2 linked regions of the Rhinolophus ferrumequinum genome follow. The protein of the gene in region 2 interacts with the protein of the main gene of each other region in a biochemical or structural test. Links are inferred from orthologs where the notes say so. Each region holds a gene or a part of one and is shown on either strand. Other genes may lie near its edges. The genes, in order: MBD1 and ATF7IP.

Evidence for each region.
Region 1: the proteins of ATF7IP (region 2) and MBD1 form a complex in vitro, tested with the Homo sapiens proteins (2 studies listed by BioGRID). The link is inferred for Rhinolophus ferrumequinum from reciprocal best matches to the Homo sapiens genes ATF7IP and MBD1.

Annotation. Positions count from the first base shown.
Region 1 is NC_046302.1:41,088,852-41,096,304, forward strand, and holds the start of MBD1 (methyl-CpG-binding domain protein 1), read right to left. Parts: upstream 4,253-7,453; 5' UTR 4,058-4,252; intron 2,666-4,057; 5' UTR 2,641-2,665; coding exon 2,531-2,640; intron 1-2,530. Other genes in the region: CXXC1 (CXXC-type zinc finger protein 1), read right to left, coding at 6,514-6,660, 6,739-6,891, 7,208-7,304. UniProt on the Homo sapiens protein: Transcriptional repressor that binds CpG islands in promoters where the DNA is methylated at position 5 of cytosine within CpG dinucleotides. Binding is abolished by the presence of 7-mG that is produced by DNA damage by methylmethanesulfonate (MMS).
Region 2 is NC_046293.1:28,749,985-28,757,437, reverse strand, and holds the start of ATF7IP (activating transcription factor 7-interacting protein 1), read right to left. Parts: upstream 3,629-7,453; 5' UTR 3,483-3,628; intron 1-3,482. UniProt on the Homo sapiens protein: Recruiter that couples transcriptional factors to general transcription apparatus and thereby modulates transcription regulation and chromatin formation. Can both act as an activator or a repressor depending on the context.

The sequences.
Region 1 (7,453 bases), on a different chromosome or scaffold from region 2:
CACGGTACTTCTGCATGTCTTGCAAGAGAAGCAATGAATGTCCTTTGCTACTATTTTTTGCAAGGATGTTTATACAGCAAACAACCCTAGAAGGTAAGAGAAAGGGTCTCCTTCCAGAGAAAAGGGAAGACATCCTTACTGTCCTAACATTATAATAGATTGGATTCCTTAAGCTCAGGGTTCCTTTCCCACAATACAACCCAGTTACAGGTACAGGTGTGCTAGTTAGCCCTCTTCATGTGACCCTGTCGGAATTGGCATTCTGGGAACCCACACAAAAATTATGACATTCTGGATACTGTTATTGCTATGAGTAATAAATTTTCTTTCATCCCTGATCCAGGAATCTCTTATCTCCTACCAGCATCCACTAAACTGACACTTGTTATCTTAACCTAAGTAGGGTAAAAATCTCAGATCCTCTACAATTCTTGATAATTGCACTTACATTTATCAATGTTGAACGTTTATACAAGTTGTAAATATGTGAATAAATGTACAACTAAATATAAATGTAACTGTATTTGTAATGTTATTATATTCCTCCAGGAAAACAGCAACTTAGACCCAAAAAAGGTTCATGAAGAGTGTAGAAAATTTAATTAGTATATCACTAGTATATCTTCTTTTTATTATTATTAGTTTCAGGTGTACAAAGCAACTTAATAGACATTTACACTCCTCTCAAAGTGATAAGCCCCCGCCCCAAGCTACTACTCCTTTGACATCTTTTTTTTTTTTTTTTGAGGGCGCAGCTTACAGTGGCCCATGCGGGATCGAACCAGCAACCTCTGACATCTTATATAACTGTTATAACACCATTGACTATCTTCCTTATGCTATCTCCACCTCACATAAATATATATATATGTATATATATATATACACATATATATATATATATACACACATATATACACATATATACACACACACACATACAGTCACAGTTGACATACAGTTTTATCCTACTTTAGCTTTACTTGTACATCACATTGATCGTGCATTTACAGTATGAAGTGATCCCCTTGATACGTCCACTGCCAATCTGGCACCTTACATAATACTTACAACATTGTTGATTATATTCCCCATACTGTATTTCATATCCCCGTGACTATATTGTGTCTACTAATTTGCTCTTTCTAATCCCTTCACCTTCTTCCCCATCCCCTCCCTCACTAGTACACCTTAAAGTAACGTAAGTCCTTAAATGTAAACTGTTTATAAACACGTAAGTTTGTGTATTTATAGTTGAATTTCATTATTTATCGTAGTTATGTTCTATAAAGTCATCTGGTTCTATAAAGTCTACGCTGAATTAGTGAATACAGAACCACTGTTCCTTGTGGAACTACAGGTTAGGTTCCTACAAGCCTCTACTCACAACATTCTTGTAAACTAATCCTATGTAACCTTGTTTTTTGTGTGTTTCTGTTTAAAGGACACCCTACTTAATATCTTCTTCTTACAAATAATGAACTGCATGGCTTTGACTGATTTAAAGCCAGAAGCTTTGCAGGCCATCTGCATTATACAGGTTTCTTTGCCAACGTCCTTATAAAACAAGCCAGCACTGAAAATCTACTCTTCTACCCAACCCTTTTCCCATGTAGCACTTTGCAGGTATTTTTAAAAAATCTTCAGCACTCTTGATTTGCAGAACCTGCCTTGCAAGAAAATTTCACATTTTTAACAACGTTATCACCTTTTGAAACCTGTGAGACAGCCCGCACTAGCAGTAATAGGTTTAACATTTTCTTAACCCTGGGTAAGAAATGACCATCAATGTCCTTGGCTTTCAGGACTCACAGTGCTGTCCACTACACTTTGTATTTGTTCATCATTTCATGGATCTATGAATTTAGCCACTTTCCCACCTTTTCCTTAGCTTCATCACGTACTACAGATGTTACTTTAGCACTTTCTGGAGGAGCCTCACATACAAATTGAAAAACGTCCTCTTTCTTTTCTAGATGTACCATATTTTTTGATTCATTAACACTGAACTCACAGCCAAGAGCACTACAACTCACACCTGAATGAAGCTGATGCATATTTAACATGTATTTTCTTCTTATGGCAAATCAGACGTCTTGCACTTTAGGACACTAGATAGCACTGCAGCACTAAGTTTTAGGACCATCATAAACAGCAAAATCAGCAATAAAAATCACAAAAATTCAAAAAGCTTGGTACTAAGTAGACCATGAAAAGGACTTGATACAGTACAAGTGCTGAAATAACGCTTCATTCAACCTAAGCTGGGAGTGCGTGCACCAGGCGACTTAAATTTTTTTTGCTGTTCTGTGCATGTCCACGAATGACTACGAAAACACAGCTGAGTAATGACTTTGGGGATACAAACAGATTTTAGTGAGTAGGCAAATTTACAAATACAGAATCTGCAAGTAATAAGGATTGACTATATATGCATAATTTTAGCTCCACCCATAAATTTAACCACACCCAATTTCACCTTGCCTAACCAGGCTCAGCCCTTCCTGACTGTCCACAACCCACCCAGTACCTCTGATAATAGGTGTCTGAGCGTCCACAGGTAGCACCTGACTTGCGGAAAACCTCCCGGCGCTTCCAGCCAGGGCCCAGGGCTGGGCAGTCCAGCCACTCCTCAGCCATGGGGACCACGGGAAGGAGCAGCGGCCTGCAACATGGAGGAGCAACGGGAGAAACTGAGGCTCTAGGAGGTGACATGTTATGCCCCAAGCCACACAAACCACTGGTATCTATTAATACTTGCCCAAGACCTGGGACCTGCCACAGGCAATTGGCCAACATAAAGAAGAGAAAACCCCCATTCCCACCCAACTCTTCCCTGTCCCAGGCCCAGGAGCTTGACACTCCTCACCCTTGTGACCTGATAGCCCCGTCCTCAACCCAAGGGTCCTCATTCCTCACTCGCAGTGTCCTGATCCCGTTCCTCCCCATTCTCAGCCTGAGATGCCATCATTTCTGCCCAATGACAACCTAGGAGGCTCTCACTCTTTCCCTTCATTCTCGCTGTCCTTGGCCCACGAGACATTTTCTGTCACCTATTGGCCCTCTACTCCTCTCCTTTGTCCCCAAGACCTTCATACTCCCCATCCTCAGCCTGAGAGGCCTCGTCCCTCCCATCCTCAGGCCCAGCGGCTCCCATTCCACTCCTGCTCAGACTGAGGGCCCGGCACTCGGTCAGGATTCTCATTCCCATTCACTACCTTCCTTGACCCAGGAGTCCCTAATTTCTCTCTTTCGGCCTTTTAACCCTCCCATTCCTTCCCTGTGATGTCCTTTTATCCTGCTATCTCTGCGTTACTACATCGGTTTCCTCTGTCCTCTGCCCGAGTCCCCAACTCCTCCATAACCCTGACCTAAATGGCCCCTCATTCCTTCTGTTCCTCAGCTTGAAATCCTCCCCCCTTGTGTCCCCTCTCAGTGTTCTGAGCCACAATTCCTCCCCATCTCGCCCCCGAACCTCTCTATTCCTCTCTTCTGCAGCCGGGAAGTTCTCTTCTCCTTCCCTTCAGCGTCCTCATCCTCCATTCCTCTCATGAACCTAAAAGATCCTGCTTTCTCCCCTCAGCATTCTACACCCTCCATTCCTCTGTTCTTGTCCCAGAACCATGCCATCCTGTCAGTGTTCAGACCCGTTTCTCCTCGTCCTCCATAACAGACCCGTTCCTCCCTTTCAGCATCCCAGTGCCCCTATTTCTCTCCGTCATCAGCCTGAGGGCACCTCATTTCTTCCCCTCAGGGGTCTGAACACCTATTTCTCTCCTTAACGTGAAAGGCCCCGATGTCTCCCCTGAGCGCTCGGATCCTCCCCCACTCCTCTCCGTCCTCGTCCAGGATCCCGACACTTCCACTGTCAGCGTTCTGAGCCCCATTTCTCTCCGTCCTCCGTCTAAAATCTACCCATTCCTCCACTTCAATATTCCGACGCCGCCATTCCTCCCACTCATCGGCCCGAGGGCCCGCTCCGTCAGGGTTCTGAGCCTCAATTCTTCACCATCCTCCGCCTGAGCGCTCTCTACTTCCACCCCCACGACTGTCTCACCAGCTCGGCTTCGGGCCGGTAGCTTCCGCCGCTCTAGGTCCGCGGACCCATGACGAGGGTCCCGCCTGTACCTCCCGCCTGGCTCTGCTCCTCTTCCTCTTCTGCTGCAGCTTCCTCTGAAACGGTAGCTGTCGCCGCCGCGGCCGTTCGTTGCCCCCGACACCGGAAATCCGGGGCCCGCCTATCGGGTTCCGCTCCCAGCGAGACGCCTGCGCGCTAATGACCGCCTCTGCTTGCCCTTAATAGGGAGGATCCTGCGCCTGCGTGCTGGGTTCCGCAGCTGCGCGCGCCCTTTGCCAGGACGAGCTGCGCTTGCGCGCTGAGTCCAACTACGGCTCGTGTCCCTATCCGAGCTCCGCAGCGCGTGCGCTTCTGGCGTTGTCCGCCAGCGCGTTCTCCCCGCTCCGCCCACCTTATTTGCGCCTGCGCTCTCTGGTCCCAACCTGAGGGGGCGTAGAGGGTTGGGGTTGGCCCGTGGAATTCCTTACCTAAGTGGTCTTGTATAGAGCGTTACTTATGACTTTGATAGTTATGTCAGTCACAAAGTGACAGTCATGCCAGAGCACGTGAAAGGCATACCCAGTGAATGCCCAAACCAGATAACCAGAACACCCTATCCAGGCGCACGGTGGAGAGTGACCATCTGGAAGGCTTTATCTGACTACAGATGGGTGCACCGCACCCAGGCTTGAGAACGAAAACAGAGCTCTCTGAGGGCTCATCATTCAGGCCTCAACTGACAGCCGCATTTGCACTCATCTCAGACCGAGCGCTTGCAGTCTTGCCTCCTGACGGCCTCACCTGCCCAGCCTGACACCCAAGCACTCCAGCGACTCTCGGTGAACAGCGGACTCTCTCCTTCTTTCCTAAGACTGTTCACCTTGCCTAACCCTATTGCTTGCAAACCTCTTGTGTGAAACTGCTCTACCTCGACCATTGGAGGCTATCCTCTGGCCAGAGCCTTGGTTGATGCCTGTGGTAAACCCAGTCGGTACGACTAGATCCATGGCTTTAATTCTAATAAAGTCTAACATTGTAGAAACAAACATATGGCAGCCCCATAGCTCAGGTGGTTGGATCGCCGTGCTCCTAACGCCTAGGTGACTGGTTCATTCCCATATGGACCAGTGAGCTGCGCCCTTTATACCGAAGATTGTGAACGACGACTCATCCTGGGCTGCTGTGTTGCCGTGGGCTACCGTGTGCTGCCAGGTGCAGCCAGCGTGCGTGGCCGGCAGCCTATGAGAGCTGCCGTGAGCCGCCGACCCGCGACCGACTGCCTCAGCCGGGGGAGCGCAAGGCTCATAACACCAGCATGGGCCAGGGAGCTGTGTCCTACACAACTAGACTTGAGAAACAACGGCTTGAACCAGAGTGGGGGGCAGGAGGTGGAACAGACGTGTGAGACTGATACTTTGATAGTCATGAAAAGCTCACGCTAGGTCTCCACAAGGAGTAACCAGGAGGGAGGCACGGCGATGCCTGGTCTTGTGCTGGAGCCCTCCTCTCGCCTAGGTCGCGCAGGTGCCCCAGTCCCTATGAACACCTCCCCCAAGACTTGTATCCCGCTCTCTCCTCCCCACTGAACAGCTGCAGGAGAGCAGAGACAAGTTATGTTGAGCTGGCCCCAGCTCTTTCCCCAGAACTGGGGAAGGGGGCAGTGCCACACTACAGGTAAACAAAAGGCCAGGTCCATGCAACGGATGAGGGCAGGTCCATCCTGGAAAGGCCAAGCTGTGAGCCCCACTGGACCTGCCAAGCAGATTGAGTGGGGTGAGGCTTCTGGCACAAAGTCAGTGGACTCCTGCTGCATACATGTCCCCAAAGAGGGGTTCGTGGGGAAAGAGGGGGCCTTGGGATCATCGGGTACACCTTTGGTCTGGAGAATATTAACACTCACACAGCAGTAGTAAATCGATTAGCCACACACTGAACGAGTGCTGACTGGACTGTCTCAAAATGAGGCTGTGAATGGTGGGCCATTGGGCTCTTCCCTCAGCAGGTCGTATGCCCACAGCTCAAGGAGGGAACCTGCACCAAGTGGGTGCCAGTTGTATACTCAGCCTACACATGCACTGCAGTGCAGTCCCTCATGAGTACAGGTGTGCCACGGCCCATCTACCCCAGGGGTTTGGGAATGCAGTTGCAACTGGGTAAAGTTGGGAGACCATCAGTGGTTCTCTTTCTTGGTTCTTCACAAAATTTTATTAACAAAACCAGGGAGGCTGAGCAAGAGTGAGCAGCCTCCACAGTCCCACCCAGAAACAAAAAATGGAGAGAAAATGGGAAAGACAAGGACAGGAGGAAATTCTGAGACCCTCTGGTAAGGGCTGATGGGCAGTCAAATGGTGGGCGGGCACAAGGAAAAACTCAGGGACCATTACAAACAGCAAGAGGATTCCAGCAAGCTCCCACGCCTGGAATGCAGGGTGTGAGGACGTCTGGGCCAGTGAGGCTCAGCGGTCGGCACTGGAGCGCAGGTCGGTAGTGAGTGGATCATGCTGGATTGTTTGGTGCAACATCAAGGCCAGTAATCCTGCCCGGTTTGTCATGGCTGTGCGTACATTGCGCTCCTGCTCAAACAGCTCATCCAGCTTGTACCACTGCCAGGGGAGAAGAGCCATGAGAAGGAGTTCTGGAAGACCCACCTCACCCTGGCCACATCCGGCATCAAAACCTACCACGCGCACACGCTCCAGGTCCACCTCAGCACGCCGCAACTTCTCCCAGCAGTAATGACGGTTGCACTGGCGCTTGGGCAGGCGGCAGAAGTCACCTGTGAGCTCAAAGACGTCACGTACAAGGGGGCATCCGCATACCTCATCAGCTGGCACCTGCAGGGAGATGGAGTGGGGATGAATGAGAGGTGCTAAGTCAGGAAGGAAAATAAGAATGAGGAGTGGTCAAGGAGGGAAGGCATGGAGAGTTCAAGGGAGAGTGAAGAATGGAAAAGGAGAGGAACAGAGGATGAAGAGGCAGGGAAAAGGGGAGGAAAAGGAGATGATGAGAGAGTACAAAAGAAGATGAATGAAGGGTAATGAGGCAGGGAAAGTGTGAGTTATGGAAGTGGTCAGGTGGGAAAAGGAAAGGAGGTGGAGCGGTGAGGAAGGTAGGAGGGTCAGAATGGGGGGAGTTGAGGGAAAACCTTACTTTGGGGTCCCGTGAGTGCTCAGGGCACAGCACTTGGAGCCGCTTACAGTATGTCTTGCTCTGAGGATTGTAGACATCACAGAAGAGTCGTGTGGCCCTGGGTATTGGAAAAAGAGAGAGCGTAGTGGGGGGAGAGAAGGAAGAGGTCTCACTTATCCTTGCCCATGCCCATATCCTGCCACAACATTCCACTTCTGACCCCAGCTTTAACTTTGCAGCCCTAACCCTACAGAGTACCCACACTCA
Region 2 (7,453 bases):
AACAAGAAAAACATTAACATCCACCATAGAAAAATACACTAAAAATCCTCAAAAATTTCCCCCAAAATGAGAAAACTGCATATATGTATTAAACATAAAAAAGTTCAACTTCACTAGTTAGTATGAAAAAAAGGAAGTTAATGAGATACTATTTTCAACCACCAAACTGATGGAGGTATGGGAAATGTTTTTCAAAAAAGCTAAGTTTTTATCAATTTTGTAAATTACTTTAAAAGCCCTCTGAAATACTAATTTCAAAGAAATATTATGAGATGCAGATCATGCCTCATGTACAAAGATGTTCACTGTAGCATTTATAATAGAAAAATGGGCAACAAACAAAATGGTCAACAAGAAAAGAAAGGTTTAGTAAGTCACAGAACATTCTACATAGAGACATAATGTAGCCATTTAAAAACATATTTGAAGACTATCTGATAATCTGGGATATTGTCACAATATAATGTATCATTAAAAATATTTTAAAAGAATAACAAAATGGCAAAATATCTATAATACAATACTAAAGAGCAGGAATAAGATTATGATCCAAATAAAAAACTGATCAATTGTTACTGATCAATAATCAACCATGGAAAAGTCACATAAATCACCAAAACTTTTAGAGCAATTATTTCTAAATGCTAATTAATTTCAACATGTTTCAAATGTGCTATAATAAGTAAAAAATATTTAAATATATCCATCATGCATTCAAATTACACTTTAAAGGGAAAAAAAGACTATTTTAATGGTTTATGACTTAAACCTTTTTTTCTTTTTCTTTTTTTTAAATTTTTTTGGGGAATATTGGGGAACAGTGTGTTTCTCCAGGGCCCACCAGCTCCAAGTTGTTGTCCTTCACTCTAATTGTGGAGGGCGCAGCTCAGTTCCAAGTCCAGTCGCTGTTTTCAATCTTTAGTTGCAGGGGACGAAGCCCATCCCATGGTGGAAATTGAACCAGCAACCTTGTTGTTGAGAGCTCGCACTCTAACCAACTGAGCCATCCAGCCGCCCCATCAAAACTTTTATTTCTAAACTAAATACTATGAGGCTTTAAACTCATAAAACTAAAAAGATTTTAAATGACCCCAATCACTTTCATTCTTGCGTAGCGTGACCTAGTTTTAATATTTATATATGCTGCATATGTGTCAAAATTTTGTGGCATCACAACTATGAAAGCACAATTTCAAAACATGTTTGTTATTGATAAAGTACAAATAAACAAATAGTGGATATTCAGACAATTCTTCAGTCTTAGTTTTAAGTTTATAGAATTGTATTTGCCTTTTTAACAAACATGACAGCAAAATTGACCTATCAATACATATTTACATTGTACATTATGTTCTTCAGTGTTTTCAAGTACCTCATAATCTTAACATTAATCTACAAGGCAATCATTTGTATATTCAAATAAAAACATCATCTTAAATATATAAACCAGGAGCAGCCAGTTAGCTCAGCTGGTTAGAGCGCGGCGCTGTTAACAATAAGTTTGCCAGTTCGATCCCCACATGGGCCACTATGAGCTGCGCCCCCCACAACTAGATTGAAATAACTACTTAACTTGGAGCTGATGGGTCCTGGAAAAACACACTTAAATTTAAAAAAAGATAGATAGATAGATAGATAGATAGATAGATAGATAGATAGATATACCAAAACATTTCACTTTTCTGGAAGTGCAAAGTCTACCACGCCCTAAGATCAAAGTTCTTTTCTTAACTTAAATATCTATGTGTATACACATACTCACTAATACAGAAAAAACAAATTTTCAACTCTAAAAAACACCAGAAACAATGTCAAAGGAGGTGGGGGAGGGGTGTGTATAAAAGGGAAGATTACACAACTGCCTTCTAAATACTGTTCTGTGTAGAAGACTTCAGAAGTCCAGGAATTATATGAACGACAATTTTTTATTGTCAGAATAGAATAAAGAGGAATTTTTTCCTATCACTCCATTCTATCTCATATTCGTATATAATGTCATTTTTTAAAAAAATCCACCAACCACAAGTATTCCTTTCAATTACATCTTAATACTTAGTAATGGTACTTATTTTAGGCAATAAAAACGTCCCTAAAGCAACCAAGATTAAAAAGCAATAACCACTTCTTCATCTGGCAGGTGACTGAATTAAACTTGAGTTATATAACCAACCAGAAAACCAATTGTTACATATACAAACCACAAATGAAGTTTATGAAAACCATTTACAAGTTTTTAGAACAGTAAGAAATAATTTGCACAATGGTAGAATTATAGTAAATCGTATAAAACTTCTCCCAGGGGTGTTATATAAGATTTACATATAATGACACTACCATTTTAAACTAAAATAATCAGTGACTTACTTATAACTACCTTCTTTAAGAAAGTAAAAACAGGAACACACTTATAACTTTAAACAAGATCAAACACAACAATTTTATCTCATACGTATGTATATGGGGCAGTTTTTTTTTTTAATCAGCTAATTTGTTTTTATTTTTATTGATGGTTCACTTCCTCATCATGGCCTCAGTGTAGGTGGGAGACCTTTGCAGAGTTTTTTATCAGAAAAATGTACCAAGTGTTATATTTTATATATCATAACAAACAAAATGCTAAGAAAATGGCTTAATTTTTAAGGAGTAACAAAAATGATCTAACTGAAGCAGTAATAGACAAGTGACCAGAGACTGAAAAAGTGTAAAACTTAAATGCATGTATAAGAGGAACACAAACTGATTAAAATTGAAACTTCCTTGACTTAGGATCAAACATTTTTAAAAAATAAACACCCAAGGAGATTAAGATTACTTCTTAAACAAGACCTCCTTATATTTCCAAAACTCAAATTGTTTCTCTTTTGTAAACATTCCATAACAGCACTGGTAAAACAGGGTTAAAAATATAATTGCAAATATGCAGTTCAAATAAATGCACTTCCCGTGAGAACACCACTAGGTGCTGATCTTTATCTCCCTAAATATAAACTGGAATCCAGCAACACACTAAAAGTGAAATTATAATCAAGAACCACAAGTGACGATCACTTTTACAGAAAATTAAGTCTCTCAGAGCTTCTCAGAGAATCGGAGAAATATAAGAAAACAGTTTGAGGTCAGTACAGAAGTACAACATAAAAGAAACGTTTTCCCTGAAAAATGTGAGAATTTGAGGGTAACAAAATGTAACCCCTCTAGAAGGAGGTAAATTAAATCTAGAACCCAAATGGCGTCCAGCAAGAACATTAGATCTTGAAAATGAATATTGCGCTTGCGCAGCCACCGCCCCGCCAGCTGCACAACTGCAGCTAGAGCCGGACCCGCAAGATCACGTGCTCCCATGCAGCGCCCGCCCGCAGCTCCGCAACCGCGCAGGCGCAAACACAACTCCCGCAGCCGCCATAATGCGGTCTTGACTCTTCAGAAATACAATAGTAATTTAAGAAAATATGGTTCTAACAGCCCCTAGATTGCACATATACCTTTCGGGTCGCGAGATGAGGACGGGGGAACCAATATCCTTCCCAGAGAGCCGTTTCCCGTAGCCGTCCCCAATGCTGCCTCCTCAGTCTCGCGCACTTCACTCGCCGCGCCGCCGCCGCCGCCGCTGCCGCCGCCGCCGCGCCGCCGTCGCCGCGCTGCCGCAGATTCAAAAACAAACCCGCTTCTCCCTTGCACGCGCGGGGCCGTTATGCAAATTACTGTAGGCGGGGCTCAGTGGTCGTAATGTTGACCACGCCCCCTGTGCTATCAGCCAATAGGCTCACGGACTGGACGTTTCCCATGCAAATCGCCTGGCTTATTTTTTTTTTTATTTGAATGAGGGAAATTGGCCACGCCTCCTGTCGTGGAAAAGAGAAGGAAGTCTGAGGTGGTGGCGCTGTGCCTTTCAGTTGCAGTGTGAGGTGTTTTTCAGTGGAACTTCCTTCGACCAGTGAGTAGCACTTTTTGAGCGCCCTCTATGAGTCTTAGAAGGAAGGAAGGAAACAGGTAGGTGAGAGTTAAAGAGCCGAGGGGAAGATTTTCAAAAATGCTGGAGTATGTTGATTTATATTAAAAACTCACTAAGTATACTAAGTATAAGTAATGAAGGAATGACGAAAACACATCTTTTCTTTCAGTTGTTCTGTGCTAGACCAAGCAGTTCCAATCACATACTTCCACTAGAAGTTGTATTCCTTATATGCAATTTTATATTGGGAGCCAACCCTTAATGAAAGCCACAGGAGGTAGTGGAGAAGGTTCTACTCCTTTGGGAGATCTGGGCCTACACCCAAGTACTTCTGCTTACTTGCCTGTTCCGTGGAATAAGTGTGTTAGTCAGTTTTCTTATCTCTAAAATGGTGATAAAACCTGTAGTTCAAATCGGCTGGGAAGGCAAAAAGATAGGATAAGAGTAAGTGTGTTATGCAAAGCAAGAAAAGCTTGACAAATAGATCGTAAAGTTTGGTTATTGTTTTTAAATGTAATTTCTCCCTTAAATTAATCAATTCATTCAGTATTTAGCAATCACTGGGTTCCAGACCTATATTAGACGCCTGTCCTCAAGAAATCTATACTATAGTGGAGAAGACAGAAAAGTAAACAGGTTTTGTAAATAGTTAAGAAACTAGTGCAGGGTGGTTGACACTGGTTGTTATAATTTGGGCCTTTTAACTTAGTTGATGCTGGGTGGCTTTTAAGAATATCACCTAGGGCCGGCCCGGTGGCTCAGGCTGTTAGAGCTCCATGCTCCTAACTCCGAAGACTGCCTTTTCGATTCCCACATGGGCCAGTGGGCTCTCAACCACAAGGTTGCCAGTTCAACTCCTCGAGTCCCACAAGGGATGGTGGGCTGCGCCCCCTGCAACTAAGATTGAACACGGCACCTTGAGCTGAGCTGCCACTGAGCTCCTGGATGGCTCAGTTGGTTGGAGCGCATTCTCTCAACCACAAGATTGCCTGTTCGACTCCCACAAGGGATGGTGGGCTGCGTCCCCTGCAACTAGCAACAGCAACTGGACCTGGAACTGAGCTGTGCCCTCCACAACTAAGAATGAAAAGACAACAACTTGAAGCTGAAAGGAACCCTCCACAACTAAGATTGAAAGGACAACAACTTGACTTGGAAAAAAGGCCTGGAAGTACACACTGTTCCCCAATAAAGTCCTGTACTCCTTCCCCAATTGAAAAAAAAAAAAGTCTTACAAAAAAAAAAAAAAAATATCATCTAATCCAGATTTGGAGAATCAGTAATGCCTTCCTAAAAGGTAATCTCTAAGATGAGAACTGGTTTAATAGATTTCTTGCCTAAAGCTGGACTTTATTGTGAGAGCAAAGAGGAATCACTTAAAAGGTTTAAGTCAGGAAATAACACTTGCATTGCTTAATTGCTAAGCTTTGTAAAGTCCTTAGCACAGAAAATTGTACATAGGTGTTCAATAAATTTCAAATAGAGGCTCAATTATAACAAATTTATGTTACAATTTAGTTATAGGTGCTCAATTATAAAATAAATGCTCAGTAAATTGTAAATATTGACATTGATATTAAACGTTACATTCTATAGTAAGAGAAATGGGATTGGGATAATAGAATCCATTAGGTTTCTCTTTGTATATCTTCTATAAGCAAGTAAAAAGGAATCATTTTTATAATACTTCACTCTCAACTGTCTAGGCTAATGGCAAAGGGAAAAATAATTCAGCACTAACTCAACAATTGATCTATTTTCTTAGATATGCTGATATTCTAGACTTGTCTCCCTATGTCTTCAACTAGACAATTTTATTGTATTTGACTGTCCCCAGATATTCTCAACCACACATTTATAGTCTCTTCAGCTATTCTACCTGATGGTTGACCTAACCAATTCAATTGTTTCTTCATTCAACAAGTATAGTATTTATTATGTACTCACATACTATTCTAAGCATTGGAGATGCCCACAGGAAATGACACTGCTTCTAAATGGGGAATAAGTCATATATACAGATAAACAATATGAGATCAGTATTGTCATGGAGGTATACACTAAGTATAAAAGAAATGTAAAACAGGAGGACCTAAATCTTCCTCGTAGTATACAGCAAAAGTTCATAGAAAAGGTGATATTTGACCTGACTCATAATGTAGAACTGAAAGTGGTTGTCAGAATAAGTACAAAACAAAGAGAATTCAAGTTAGATAAAACAGAAACTCAAAGACACAGAAGAATGAAAAAAGGTATAGTTTCAACTTCTAGGTAAGATGGTGTTCAAAATAATTATCAATCCCTGTGGCACCAACTGACCAATTAGAATAGAAGCAGGCTTGAACACTCCCTACTTTGTAAGATGTTAATCTTCTAGTTGTAGGATTGTGGAGAGGTTCAGGGGTTCTTTAGTTGGGGACTGAGGTGGACTCAATGGTAGGAGGAATATTCAGGGGTGGGGATATAAGGGATACAATACTTCTAGTGGAAGTATGTGATTGGAACTGCTTGGTCTAGCACAGAACAACTGAAAGATTTCCATATTTTACTCACCATTATGGCCTTATTTATACATACTTTCTGAATATGCTTCTAGAAAAAAATGCCTGAATAAAACAAGATCTCAGAACTTCTGACAGAAAAAAAAAATCCAAAACCCAAAACAACCTAAAATAATAAACATACATAAATGATTTTCAGTTGTAGCAATTGAGCAGAAATTAAACAAGGAAAACAGAACTTTTGAAAAATAGAATACTGGGGCGGTCGTATGGTTCAGTTGGTTAGAGTGCGAGCTCTTAACAACAAGGTTGCCGGTTCAATTCCCACATGGGCCAGTGAACAGCACCCTCCACAACTAGATTGAAAACAATGGCTAGAACTCGGAACTGAGCTGCAGGTGGGCTGCCGGTTTGCTCAGTGGTTGGAGCGCCAGTGCTCATAACACCAAGGTCACCGGTTCGATTCCCACGTGGACCAGTGAGAGTTTGGAGCTGCTTAAGCTTGGAGCTGAGCCACCAGTGGGCGACCAGTTTGTTCCGTGGTTAGAATGCACTGCTCATAACACCAAGGTCGCCGGTTCGAATCCCACATGCGCCAGTGAGCTGCGCCCTGTACAACTAGACTGAAAACGATGCCTTGACATCCCGGGAAAACACACTGTTCCCCAATTAAAAAAAAAATAGAATAAACTGGAAAAAGAAATAGCTGAAAAGGAAAACTGAAGTTTCTAAGTACTATAACATGAAAGACAGACTAATAATAGTGCTTACAAAAATGGGCTCTGAAGGCTTACTACCTGAATTGGAATCTTATCTCTACTTCTTACTTGCTGCATGTTCTAAACTTCTCTATGCAAATAGTTCCTGAAATATAAAATGGGATAAAAAATAGCTTCTATCTGATAAAAGTTTTTATGAAGATTAAATTCTGGTCAACCACTTTGAGCAATAGTGGTTATAGTAATATCTCAATAAGTGTTAGCTAATAGTAATTGTAGTA